Regions from separate parts of the Mus musculus genome. Here all the other regions are reported to be linked to region 2. Evidence: microRNA targets listed by miRTarBase, many of them from high-throughput screens and not tested one by one. Region 2 holds a microRNA gene; each other region holds the end of a gene's coding sequence.

What was found. Region 2 holds the annotated microRNA mmu-miR-17-5p (CAAAGUGCUUACAGUGCAGGUAG, at 3,218-3,240, opposite strand). A microRNA usually pairs through its seed, bases 2 to 8, with sites in the 3' UTR of a target mRNA and lowers its output. Matches are read on the target gene's strand: a 7mer-m8 pairs with bases 2 to 8, a 7mer-A1 pairs with bases 2 to 7 and ends in A, and an 8mer does both.
Region 1: the mRNA of Marchf8 is a reported target of mmu-miR-17-5p. Seed matches in the 3' UTR shown: 8mer at 3,368-3,375.
Region 3: miRTarBase lists Usp3 as a target of mmu-miR-17-5p. Seed matches in the 3' UTR shown: 7mer-m8 at 3,994-4,000.

What each region holds. Positions count from the first base shown.
Region 1 is chr6:116,405,980-116,410,265 of GRCm38, reverse strand. It overlaps Marchf8 (membrane associated ring-CH-type finger 8), which reads right to left. Exons shown (of 8, transcript NM_001302383.1): 8 at 726-4,241. The coding sequence ends at 3,940. Alox5 (arachidonate 5-lipoxygenase) reads left to right here. Exons shown (of 14, transcript NM_009662.2): 14 at 1-195. Among named protein-coding and RNA genes, the nearest start is that of Gm38880, 5.1 kb to the left of the region's middle.
Region 2 is chr14:115,042,346-115,046,923 of GRCm38, reverse strand. Mir17 (microRNA 17) reads right to left here and starts at 3,253; the gene lies at 3,170-3,253. Mir18 (microRNA 18) reads right to left here and starts at 3,073; the gene lies at 2,978-3,073. It overlaps Mir19a (microRNA 19a), which reads right to left and starts at 2,924; the gene lies at 2,843-2,924. It overlaps Mir20a (microRNA 20a), which reads right to left and starts at 2,767; the gene lies at 2,661-2,767. It also overlaps Mir19b-1, Mir17hg and Mir92-1.
Region 3 is chr9:66,514,328-66,518,613 of GRCm38, forward strand. Usp3 (ubiquitin specific peptidase 3) reads right to left here. Exons shown (of 15, transcript NM_144937.4): 15 at 312-4,251. The coding sequence ends at 4,086. It overlaps Fbxl22 (F-box and leucine-rich repeat protein 22), which reads right to left and starts at 266. Exons shown (of 2, transcript NM_175206.4): 1 at 1-266. The coding sequence starts at 226.

The DNA.
Region 1 (4,286 bases), not on the chromosome of region 2:
CACATGCTGAGGTCCAGTCACCCCCACTCCCACCCCCACCAAAATCACTGTTCTCTTTCGATCAACAATAAAAAAGCTGGTCTACTACCTCCTCCAACTGACAAGGTCTTTGCCCCCCACTCCATACCAGTGGCCCTTTCTGCTTTTGTAGACAATACAGGTATTCTAAATTAAACACACAAATCTAAAGATCTGAATTTATGCTATGATTCATATATGAGAACACATAGCTCGTGTCTGTATCCAGGTCATGTCCTTTAATATTGTGTCTCCATCCATTTACCTGAAGATTTTATGTTTTGGCAGCTGAACAAAATCCCATTATAAATAAGTACCACATCTTCATTATGCATTCGCCAGCCAAAGGCTATCCAGGCTGCTTCCTTGTCTCTGCTGCTGCCTTCACGAATGAATGACAGGGCACCCGCCTCATCTGTCCCAATGCCGAAGGCTAGCACGGGCATCAGTATCTGCATCTCCTCCTCTTACTTCCATCTGGCTGATGCTTGATCTCTTAAGGCAGGTTTGTAAGGATTAAGTGAAGTAACCCAGACACTAAAACAGTTATCACATGGACCTTAGCATCAACGCAAATCCCCTTCCACTTCCACTCCTCTTACTTCTGGGCCCTCTCTCTTCTCCCTATGGCCTCATTATTCTTTACTGATATGTGGGCGGGAAAGGGTATCCTAGCTTCCCCATTTGAAAACACTCTCATCACAAAATTCCTTTGTAAAGAAAGGCTTTATTGCTAACTTTAGACACCCCGTATATAGCACAAACAAATCCCCTGTACAGAGAATTATTCAAGCAGTAATACTGAGAAACAATGAACATACACAAAAAGATTAAAAAATTAGACATTTAGATTACTAGAAATTTTCCAAGAAAAATTTAAAATGTGAAGTGCTTTTTAGAAACTACACTACACACACCAGTGTAAATTTGGTTTTTATTAACAATCAACTTGAAACGTTGCATCTAAATGTGCACCAGTTACATGCCTTCGTCACTCACTCCCGACACAGAGACAAGTGCCTTTTCTCTCCCTATGCTTTGGGCTTTCCTTGAGCTGCAGCTATAAGCTGCATTATTCCAAACCAGATTTGAACAGGTAGAATGAAATATATACATGTGCATCTAACCACACCCACAAGATTACAGCTCTTCACCCTGCCCACACAGCCTTTCCCCTCTGTCACTTAGATACTACCCCAGGCCTTGAACTGTCCTATCCCCCACCGCCTGAGCCTGCACATCTGTGTCCACTTGGACATACCCACAGGTTTGAAAACTAAGCCTACTTAACGAAGAGTGTCCTGAAGCCAGAAAGGAGAGACAGAGAGACCTAGACTAAGAGAATGTTTACATTTCCAGGAAAATCTTGTGATACACTTGAGCATAACCCTCAACTACTCACTTGTGGCAGCTAGAGTCAAAGCTGTGCGAATGGGTCTATGACATACGGGGTAAAGGCCAAGTTAGAGGGCTGCCAGTGACACCCTGAGACGACTTCCTTCTTCATTTGACCCACAAGCACAAGCCCTCCTGGCCTGAGGTCTCCCTCATCCTAGATCTGCTTGGTCTAGCTACATGCCATCTTCCCACTATATCTAAGCTCAAAGTGAGGAACAATGGGGTAGACAGATAGCCCTGCAAAATTACTCAGAGGCCAAAGAGGCAAGGACTAGGAGAGTCTGGGCAGACCCAGAGCTCTGCCAGATGCTTCGCAGCCGTGCCTTGCCAGTCTCCTGCACTGAGTCACATGTGTAGTTGTTTACTAGATCAGAGAACCTTCAGGGAAAACGAGCGGGGGAAGGATGAAGGACAGAGTTCATCAGAGAAGCCAGAGAAGAGATAGCATCAGGCCTTCCTGAAATAAAGGGAACAACATGAAGCCATGCTTCCAAAGCCACCTATCTATGTGGGAGTACAAGTCCCCTAGGGCAGCTGTGCAGAGACAACCCCCATTGAGGGACACTTTCTTCTCTACAAATGCCTCCATCTTCATTTGACTGCCCACCCAATGTTGGAACATCTTGTCACAGACAGATGGACAGGGTCAGAGACTCGCCGCAGCAGCTGCTAAAAGGAATAGTCAGAGCTTAGTGGGCAGTCTGTAGCTGCCTGGTGTCCTCACTGAGTGTGAGTAATTGCACTTTGGGGCACAGTGAGCACAGGGAGGCTTATGTGGTCTGGGAGAGAGAGGGCAGGCTGACCTAAGGGGTGGGCCCATTAGATAATGGCTGAAAGCCCTGGCAGAACAGCTCCACAACTGAACTCCATGACTCCAGGGAGTAGACAAGGGGATAACAGGACAGAACTTGCTTCCACAAGCCTTCTAGCTAGCCTCCACATGCTTCTGAAAACTAAGCACGGGGCTTCTACTAGGAACTACAAAAGATTCATCTTCGGTTTGCCTCAGTCTCTGGAGAAGACAGGTGAAGCAGCCAAAGCTCAGGGAGATGGACCCTAGGCATTGCCCTGGCCACCTCAAGAGAATCTGAAGACCCTGGAGCCGACAGCAGCCACTTGGAGAGTAGTACACTTCTGCGGTTCCTCTTGTCACATTGTAAGTTGACTATTGCCTGGCACTTTGACAATGGCCTTCAAGAAAAAAAATGTTCAACAAACTTTTTAAAGGGGCAATGGCCACTTAGCAGTAGTGATTTGATTTTGTCTGTCTTGTGAAAATATCGCGCAGGAGGTAACCCCAAGACAGAATAGGTCACATTGGAGCTAAGGACCCTAGTGATCCTGTCAAGTCTGCTTAAGGCAATAAGTGGGTATGAGGCCAGGTCAGTGACACAATGGCGATGCAATTAGCTGACTGCTCACCCAAGACCTCATCCCAGAGCTGGTCTGTTGACCTCCCAGCCCTCAGCAATGACTCCACAGAACTTTGTCAGCACAGGGGACAGCAGAGGTGGATCACAGGAGTGTCCCCAATGTGTACCCACTCCATCTGGAGACATCTGTCAGTCAAAGGAGCGTTTTTTAAATGCTCACCCTGATTCAGATTCATTACATCTCAAAACCCTTTCATTTCAACGCTCACAACAAAGAAATGTATGGGTGAGCTTGTGAGATAGGACTTTTCAGGAAACAGGCTCAAAACCAGAGGAATTACACTCTTAGCATCCATTAATTCCCATGGAGTCTCAGACCTGTCTGTCTTGCTTAAAGTCTGAAGTCTTTTCTGGACATGGAAGGACATCTACTACTCAGAATATATAAGGCAGAAATGGTTTCAGTTCGATTTTGATGCAAAGAGATAACAGGCAATAAAGAGAACATTTCTAAATGTGACACGTGTTTAAACATGTCACTCCCATTAAACACAGGAATTCCAAAATAAAAACTCTCATAAAGTGCTGTTTTCTCAGTGAGTCACACACCAGCAGACACAGCCCAAGGCCTTGTCTGCCCCCCGAGCAAGGTGGTGGCATCAGCTGAGCAAGGCAGGGGCTGCAGGGCTGCTGTCTGGAGGCACTGCTCCCTTGCCACTCCTAGCTCTCGTTAGTGTGAGGGACCCCTCCCAGCAGCAGCAGCCCTCCCGCACCATGCTGCTCTGTCCTCTGGGGACCCTCCATCACCCGCCTCCTCTCCCCATGCTGCTCTGTCTTCTGCTTTAGCTTTTTACTTCCATAATCTATTCAAGACCAGGGGCTGGAACTTAGCCAGCTCCTTGTCATGGATACATGGGGTCTCCCACCTTCCCAGACCACAGAGAAGCCTGGCAGAATGGAACCCAGTGGTACCTGCCCCACAAGAATTCTAGGACATTCACACCAAGGAGGGTTGAGAAAAAGAGAGGCCACTATAAATAGTCACCTGCCCAGTCTATGCTATTAAACGACAGAAAGAAGGAACACAACTGGCAGCAGACAAATTCCTTCAGCTGTTGGTGGACATCAAGGAAATGACACCCTCACATGGTCAGACGTTAATAATTTCTGCTCCAGTGTCTTCAGGCTCTGTGCAAGAAGAATTTGTGGTGGAATGACACATTCCATGTCCTTCTTTATTTTCAAGGGTGGGCTCTGTAAGTGCAGACTTTTCAAAAATATTCTTTTTACTTGTTTCTGGACAGTTCTGAACATAGATCACTCTATTGTAAGCCTTGAGTCTTTTCCATAACTGTAGGTACACCTTGCACTGAACATACATAAAGAGAAGTCCTCCAGTGAAGCCGATGGCCACAACTACCAGCTTCGTCCAGAAAGGCCACTCTAGGATTCCTGCAGGGGAGACTCAGTTAGCTCATCAGGAGGTCTCATGTCAGA
Region 2 (4,578 bases):
TGACCAACTTGTAAAAGGTACCCTGCTAATTTTCCTTATTCTGAGGTTTGAAATCAGGACACACAATGATTTCCTCTTCCCTGTAAATTAAGGCAAAAGACAAACTCCATGGTTAAAGCTAAGACTGGTCTCCCCATGCCCTCAACAAGAAAAAGATATTTGGGCCACTTACAGGAAAAAACAAGATACAAGATCATCAGTGCTACAAAATAACTTTATTTAAAAATGCTCATATGTACACCAAATTTTAACACAATTTATTAGCACAAAACAATGAACATTATTCCAAGTCTGTAACCACAATAAACCAGGTACCTCACAATGTTCTATTTTAGCTTACCAGAAAAAAAAAAACAAAACATTGAAACCCTTGTTAACAATCTTCCCATACTTTAAAATTCACAGCACGCACTTCCTGAATAGATCCTAGACAACTAGCAATGTATTATATATCATTTACACAAATAGAAAGGCACACCAATTCTGAGTGCACAGAGCAAAGCAATCTTAGACAAGAATCTGGAATAGGCTATACAAAATAATCTGGAAAACTCCAAGGAGCAGGCATGCTACTAGAACGGCCCTTGCCCAACTGAGCTGTTTCTACTGTTTTAGAGATTCACCTATTCTCTAAAGCCAGACAAACTAGTGTTACCAGTTACAGAACAGAATTGGATGATAAATACAACAAATTTTAGTGAACTGTTCTTTCTCCGGGCAGTTGCAGGTTGCATTGTGTCAGCAATTATGTAGGACTGACTCTTCAAACCATGCACAGGGAAAATCCAGCTGGTTTTCTGTGCTAGGTTTGCCTGTTAAAATGGACATCTTAGAGTTTTTAGTAAAATCAACAGTATATAGTCTCAATAATGCTTCCTTCTTAATATAGGATAAATTTAACTACTTTCATATAACATAAGACATTAGTAACCCACCCCCATTCCTGAAAGCTTATAGCAACTATATGCCCTAGTTACTACAAAATCAAAGTCTAAGAGAGACCACAGCTGTTTTGCCAACAGAGTTTTAGAGCAGACAGTCAGCAAAGCCCCCTGTGCGGAACTGAACAAGTGCGTTGCTGCGTGAAGCCCTTAGTGCAGAAAGCAGCTTAATTAAGGGAGGAGAGAGGAAAATCCTAGGAAAACTCCTCTTCACTACTAGGCCTCTAAGACACACATTCCTTACTAAAATTAAATCTCAATTTAAGTTCAAAACATTCTGAACACAATTACTACCACAAGCTCAGCATCCAAAGGTCCTAATTAAGACCTTATTAATTTTAAACTTCTAATTTAGTATATTGAAGAAAGTACCTGGCAGGCTTCCTATGTTGGAAGATAAACGTAGCATTCAATCCGTAACACTGGTGACAGACCCCTCCCTTTATAGGAGGCACATGGATCATGTGGATCGTGCTGACATTAGAGCTTTATCACGTTTTAAAGGAAGTTTTCATTAGTCATCTGAAACAAGTTTTAATCCAAAAATGTTAAGAATGGAGTCAGAAGTGACTATGTTTCTGTTTTAGTAATAATTGTACAATTCTGGTCACTCACAATCAAACCCAGGCCTGTGGAATCCTTACCTGGCAGCTCAGGGATCCATCAGTCAGCTTCTTGCATTTCTTTTAAAAAAAGCAACATATTATGGAAAACTTTAGCTCTGTAGATAGTGTCAGCTTAAACCTGATTTTAGCAGCTCTTCCTTATTAATTTTACTTTTCTTTAGGTTTCACTCCAATGATTTTTATTCATAGCCTGAAACCAACTGTGCTGCCCAAATGTAGAACTATATATTATATATACTGTTATCCTAAATACTAACTGCAGCTTCTCCAGACCCAGCACTCGAGTGTCATGTGTACCTGTCACTCTACTGACCATCAGTTTGCCATCTTTCCCTTGAGGGGGTCACATGGTAAGAACAGTCCAAGGATAGTTCTTTCTTACAGGGTGTGCACATTAACAGAGTGGCCACCACCTGTTAACTGTTAAGAACTCACGGATTAGGAATAATCTTATCAGAAAACACTCCATCTGAATTGTCACACTTTAATAAACAGAGATCCAAAGAAAGTAACATTTTTCTTAACTCATGTTAATGGGTTTTAGAGTAAAATAAACCTGAAGTCATACCAGGTTCAAAAGGCAGTTTAACTTCACCTAAGCCCCCACACACAACTTCTTACTAAATCCAGCGAGCAAACACGAAAATGAAATGATTCAGTAAAAACAAACCACAATTTAAAAACACAAATTTCAATTAAAAAAATCCCGTTTTACACACCAACGAAAGCAATAGAAATCACAGTTTACAGAATGTGTTCATACACTCCATCAGCTCGTGAACATTTTTACAGTGGAAATCGGCATCTTCAGCAATATTGTCATTTTCACATCTTCTGGTCACAATCCCCACCAAACTCAACAGGCCGGGACAAGTGCAATACCATACAGAGAAACACAGCATTGCGACAAATCCCAACCTGTGTAGAAAGGGGTTTGATTTTCCCTTACTTCTCTACAGACTTTTCACCACCACAGTCAGTTTTGCATGGATTTGCACAGCAGAATATTATACAGCTGGATGCAAACCTGCAAAACTAACCATAGACCAGTGCTCAATAACAGGACAGTTGGCTGGGCGATGGCCAGGCGAGGCTGGAGTTCTACAGCTGGCAGTACTTTAAGTGCTCGTAATGCAGTAGATGGCTACACACTACCTGCACTATAAGCACTTTAGTGCTACAGAAGCTGTCACATCACACACACCACGCAGGCTCTACATCGACACAATAAAAATACAAAATTAGTTTAAAAAAAAACAACACTTGAAGTAAATAGCAGGCCACCATCAGTTTTGCATAGATTTGCACAACTACATTCTTCTTGTAGTGCAACTATGCAAAACTAACAGAGGGCTGCAAACACAACTATGGAGAGACCCCTACATGCTTGCTTGACTTGGATTGGATGAGGACATAACTTCTTATGCCAGAAGGAGCACTTAGGGCAGTAGATGCTAGTCTACTTCACTATCTGCACTAGATGCACCTTAGAACAAAAAGCACGCAGCACCAGCAGGCCCTCCCCGCGACCGACTGACCGACGACTGGACGCAGCCAGTGCCGCCCGAGGCAGCGCCCACTGTGGCTCCCACCGAGGCAGCTGTCAGCATAATGCTACAAGTGCCCTCACTGCAGTAGATGCACACATCACTACCTGCACTGTAAGCACTTTGACATTATTCTGACTGGTCACAGCTTCAGTCCCAAGGTGAGGTTCACTTTATTCCTGCTAAATTTGAAATAAATAATTAGACAAAAAGGAAAAAGCCAAAGCTCTAAATTCTGTCACAAACATCAATTACAGCTTATACCCAAGGGGGGGAGGGGAGGAGCCAATAGCCAGAAGTTCCAAATTGGACACATGTAAGCCTTAAAAAAAAAAAAAAAACTCCTTAAAGAAATATAAGATACAATCCCATTAAAATGTTGGCTTTTACAGTAGGCTTCCCCAAAAAACACACAATAAGGGTCCTACAAAATGAGACCTGTTATCAGGAAGGCAGTCTGACTTGGTACTACCTTTAGAGGAAAGCCTCACATTGACCAGGCAGCAATCCCTTTCTTCTGTCCTCCACATTGTCAGATACTCGACAAGATTAATGATTATTGTTTAGTCATTTTCAAGTTTATTAGTCATAAAACATAAAAAAGTCTTAGTATCACCCCAAATTAGAAATACTCTATGACTCCAACTTGAAGGGTCTACAACTATTTGGTTAGTGTCCAAAAGCCACTGTAGATTTACTACGTTAAAATGTGGCTCACTCATTTATGACAAGAGTTCAAACTGTATTTATTTCATACCTTAAAAGACCAAGAATGTTGTACAAGCTCAAAGACAAAAGTGAAAACCAAAGGTCTCAAAAGAAGTTTTAGCTACAAAACTAGAATATACTCACCCACTCAGGCAAACTTCCTTCTCAGCAAGTATCCTTGGGCAATGCTTCGGGTGCTGCTAGGTCCACGTGTATGACTAGGGTTGGGGGTGGGGTGAAGACAGAGAAAGGGTAAGCACATTTGCTCAAAATTACTACCACTTTCCGAGCCCCATTCCAAGTTGCTCTTCTCTTAATCTTCCTAAGGGGCAATTCTATCCATTTGCCAAAAAAAAAAAAAAAAAAAAAAAAAAAGAGAGAGCCAGGACCACAAGGTCCTGAGGGCAACAATGTATTGGGTGGAAAACGCTGTAACAAAATAAAGTTGAAAACCCACCAAGATTCACATCCGTGCACGAATTAATGTGCCCCTGAAATACTGCAAGATGAGTAGCAGCAAGCCTGAACTCTACTGTCCAGCTCAAGCTAGAGAAAAAGGGCAACCAGGACTAGTCTTCACCACCCCTCCCCCAATCAGGACCTCGTGGCTGCACGCCGGGATAAAGAGTTGTTTCCCCAACTGCTGTGATCCTCGTGGCACGTTGCTCATTTTCTTCCCTCTGGTCACCTAAGAACCACGAGCCCTGCTGCGCTCTCCAGTTTTCTCCCCTCCGCGCCAGCTTATCAAGAGAAAAC
Region 3 (4,286 bases), not on the chromosome of region 2:
GGCTGGAATGCCAACAGATGGACAGGCTGCGCAGCGCAGGGCTCAGCCGGAAGTTGTCTTTCTTGAGCTCTGCGAGAGAATGGAAGTGCAGCAGGGGCCAGAGGGTGGGGTCCTCAAACACATCTCGGAGCTGGGAGCAAGTCCTGGAGAGGCTCCTCCGGCTGTCCTTGTCCAGGAAGGAGAAGAGACACAGCAGACACTCCCGATTGAGCTGGGTTATGTGCATGGTGAGTGGTGGCCGCACGTGAATGCCCAGAAAGGGTCTGACCTGCCTCCTGCTTCCTCCCCAGATCAGGACTGGTGGACATATATGGTTGAGGAATGGTGTTTATTTTTGGCCAACAACTGGTGCTGAAGCTCGGGGTGGGGAGGGCGGGTGTCAGGATCCAGACTTACTCGAAGCCATCTGTGGTTCGGCTTATGTTCAGAGGGCCTGAAAGTCCTGGCAGAAGAGCAGCCCATTGAAGTTACAAGTTTTCCTTAAAAGGGATTTCTTTTCCTCTGAGCTGATAAGTGTTGAGCACAGGGCTCTTGGCTTTTACTAAGGTGTTTTCATTGGAGGTAATTAGCGACAACAGCCCTTCCTGGGCTTGCAGCCTTTCTCCTAGCAGGACAGTGAGTATTAGCTGTTAGGTATCAGAGTGTGTCGGTGCGGCTCCTCTGCTCACCCTTGCTAGGAAGAGGTCATTTTTACCATGCCCCAAACTGTGAGTGGAATCTGAGGATCATGCTTGGTACTTTAGCTCAGGACACTAATGGCTACCTTGCAAAGATGAGCTATCTTTAAACCCCAATGGCAAGGCCCAAATGGCTCCATTTTTACCCTAAACTGTCATAAGATTCATCTGAAATGTTATTTTAAAAGCTAGCACGTGTGTGTGAGACAGACAGACTGGTGCATGTGTTCTTTTTCGTGGGTGATTTGCAGAGTTTCATTATCTGTCCTAGATAGCATTCCCCAATATGTGAGGGTGGGCAGTTTCTATTTTTGAACACTTAATTGAAGTGTAAATAACTGGAAGTGAACTGCAAGTCTGATGGGTTTCAATGCTTGCACACAGCCCCCAGCTGCCCTGCTTTTTAGGAAGCTGTGCTGCAGATCTGGAAGTATGAAGCTGCTCTAAGTGCATACAACTTGGTGGAAACCTAAGACTACTACAGCTTCCCCTGAAAGAACTCCACAGAACCCCTTAATGACTACTCCCCTTTCCTCCTGCCCATGTAGGCTACAAGACTGGCCCCTGATGGCTGTTGCTCTGCCATTTCTTCTTCCTTCCTCTCCTCCTCCTCTTTTTTTTTTTTTTTTTTTTTTTTGGCTTTTTGAGACAGGGTTTCTCTGTATATCCCTGGCTGTCCTGGAACTCACTTTGTAGACCAGGCTGGCCTCGAACTCAGAAATCCGCCTGCCTCTGCCTCCTGAGTGCTGGAACTAAAGGCGAGCGCCACCACTGCCCGGCTTGCTCTGCCTGGAAACAATCCACAGAAGAGCCCAGCTGGTGAGGCGGGACTAGGATGTGATTCGTCTGCAGCCAGAATGAATGGTAACGTGCACAATGACATCTTGGCATCATACAGACTACTAAGTCTTAATGGCCAATGATCTTGGCATGGCCACCACTCCCTTGAGGGCTACTGCCCAGTGGTGACAGTCACACACACATGTGCCTCCTCTTTCCTGTGCTGTGGCATCTTCTCGGGGCTGTCAGAAGACCCATGCTCTGGAAACAGTTCCTACCTGAGCCTTTCCAAAGCCTGGGCAAGAGGTGACTTCAGCAGTTGGAGGACCATGAGAGAGTTTAGGGGACGGTAGAGGTTACAATGGGTTAAACATATAAAGTAAACCAAAGAAGTGAAATAAATCTGAGCAGGTACCACAGGTGTGACACACGACACTCAACCAGGGCCAGCGCATATGACTGGTTTAATTACATCATCTGCCACTACACACTGAGTAGAATACAGTGGATAAGCTTAGAGTTCTCCACCATGGAGAGACTTGTGTTGCCACAAACTGTTTCTATCCCCACCTGTGTGGGAGGACTTGGAGTTTCCTGTTGCCATGGGCTGACAGGACAGGATATGCATGAGGCCCTGCCTCAGCATACGCTCTGAGCAAAAGTTGCATGCAGGTTAGAACACACGTGGGAAAGCCCTAGACAGTACAGAGAGAAGCCTGTAACCGGTGCAGTAAGGCTAGATTTAAAACAAATAGGCACATGTACTTCATCATGGGTGTTCAGATGGGCACTGCATATGGGTGCAGTCACTTTCTCAAAGAGTCTTCATGGTGTCACTCAGCCATTGCTGCTTAAGTAAAACCAAGCAATAAAGCTGCTACAAAAATTCCAGAGATGATTCATTCCCTTGTATGCCAAAGTGTTGCCTAATGACCACTCTCCCCACAGAGCGGCCCAGTCTGCTGCTGCTGCTCCACCTGGCTTGACAGTGCCAGCTCTGTGTGCGTACTGTGTAAGTCATTACAGTTGCCCAGTCAGAGGCAAAGATATAAATGCCAGAGGAGCCTGGATTAGTGGGAGCTGTGTGCAACGTTAGATGAGACTCATTTAGGCTTAGCTGTGATGTTATCACAGTTCTGATATATTAGAGCAAATCATTCGACCCTCGATCTGTGGCTCAAACCAGCAGAACTAGAGCTGCACATGCCTCTACCTCATGGAACTCAGCACACTTCCTCTTCCTGCACTAAATCTAAGTTGTAGTGCTTACACATGTCACAGCTTTGTTGTTCTGCATAAAATTTAGACCTGTGTTGTGCAAGAGAACCCTATGGAAAGGTACTTGCCCTGCACTGTCCTGTACCCAGCCCTGACATAACTAGTGTGACCAAGGACACACTAGTCATACGGTCATTGTACTGAGGGATTCAAGTTAGTGTATTAAGGTACTGATCCAGAATGTAATTTCTGTTCTGAGGGAATGAAGATTTCTGTAGCTAATATTAATGTGGAATTGAGCCACGTCTCCATCAACTTCACTGGACAAGGAAAGCTACCAAACTTACTTGTAATAGAAAAAATATTAGTAAAAAGTCTGCATGAAGTGCATTTTGTCCCTCGAGGAGGTGGATGTGGAACAGGCTGTGTTGGAGTTGTACACTCTGACTTAAAGGTTTCAATACCTGCAAACCGAATCACTGGCCTCCAGCATTTGCCACTAGCTGCCTTCTTTAAATGGTCCAAATAGTGCTTCTAACCTATTTCTGTGAACAGTATTTTTTAAGCTACTGAATTTAATAAAAACTATTCTTGTTCAGAGACATATACTTTCACCTGGTTCTGCTTCAGGCAGGGAGTGAATTAAAACCCAGAGCTTCTATGACTCCACTTCTGCCTGGAAGTCAGGTCTGGGGGGTAAGACCTCACCTCTGATGGTCAGACAGATCCACCCACAGGACATACCTCTACCATGCAGCTGAATCGCAGGGCTTTTAAACACGTATTTGCACTTGTCAGTGTTCCTAGCCTGTCTGCCCCCAAGAAAATATTAAAAGAAGACCAGAGACAAGAAATGGAGCAGTTCTGGAACTCTAGCACAGGTGCAACGGGACTGGCAGAGTTATTTAATGCTGAGGCACAGCAACCCTGAGACACAGCAGTGGTGACGGCCTGGTCTGCAGTCGGAAGGAATTCCTGAGCAGTCACTGTGAAACCGGTGGGCCACAGACCTGCACACACGATCCTCACGATGGAGTCGCTGACCTGGCTGCTATGAAGACAGCAGTCAGGGTGGCTCTCAGCATGTGAGTATAGAGCAAATGCAAATGTGCCTCGGTGAGAACTGAAAACATTAATATAAAAAGTCAAACAGAACTAAGTTCTGGAAACTACATATAAAAATTGAATTATTACAACTAAAGCAGCCAATCAAAATGCCTGCTGAGGTTTTCTGGTAGAACAACAACAAAAATTAGTTGGTGCTCATGTTGGGTAAGTCACTACCACTGACCAAACTAAACCCCAAACTGGAAATTGAAAAGTGCATACTGAAATTTGACTCTTGGATCAAGTATTTATGGAAAATGGAAATGTTGTCCGGTGTAGTTGATGACTCATGGTCAGGAGGTATTACAGTTTTTCTGCTCCAGCTCTGGCCTGACGCTCCACATAAAACAGAATGTAGGCCTTTGCCTTCCCAACGGTCTCCTCATCAGTCACTGTCACAGTGCTGTCATTGAAATGGAACCAGCGGCCTTCGTGAACTGCATATGCTGTGTAATGTCCAGAACCAACCCTGTAAAGAAAAGGCAAAAAGTTAAAAAAAAAAAA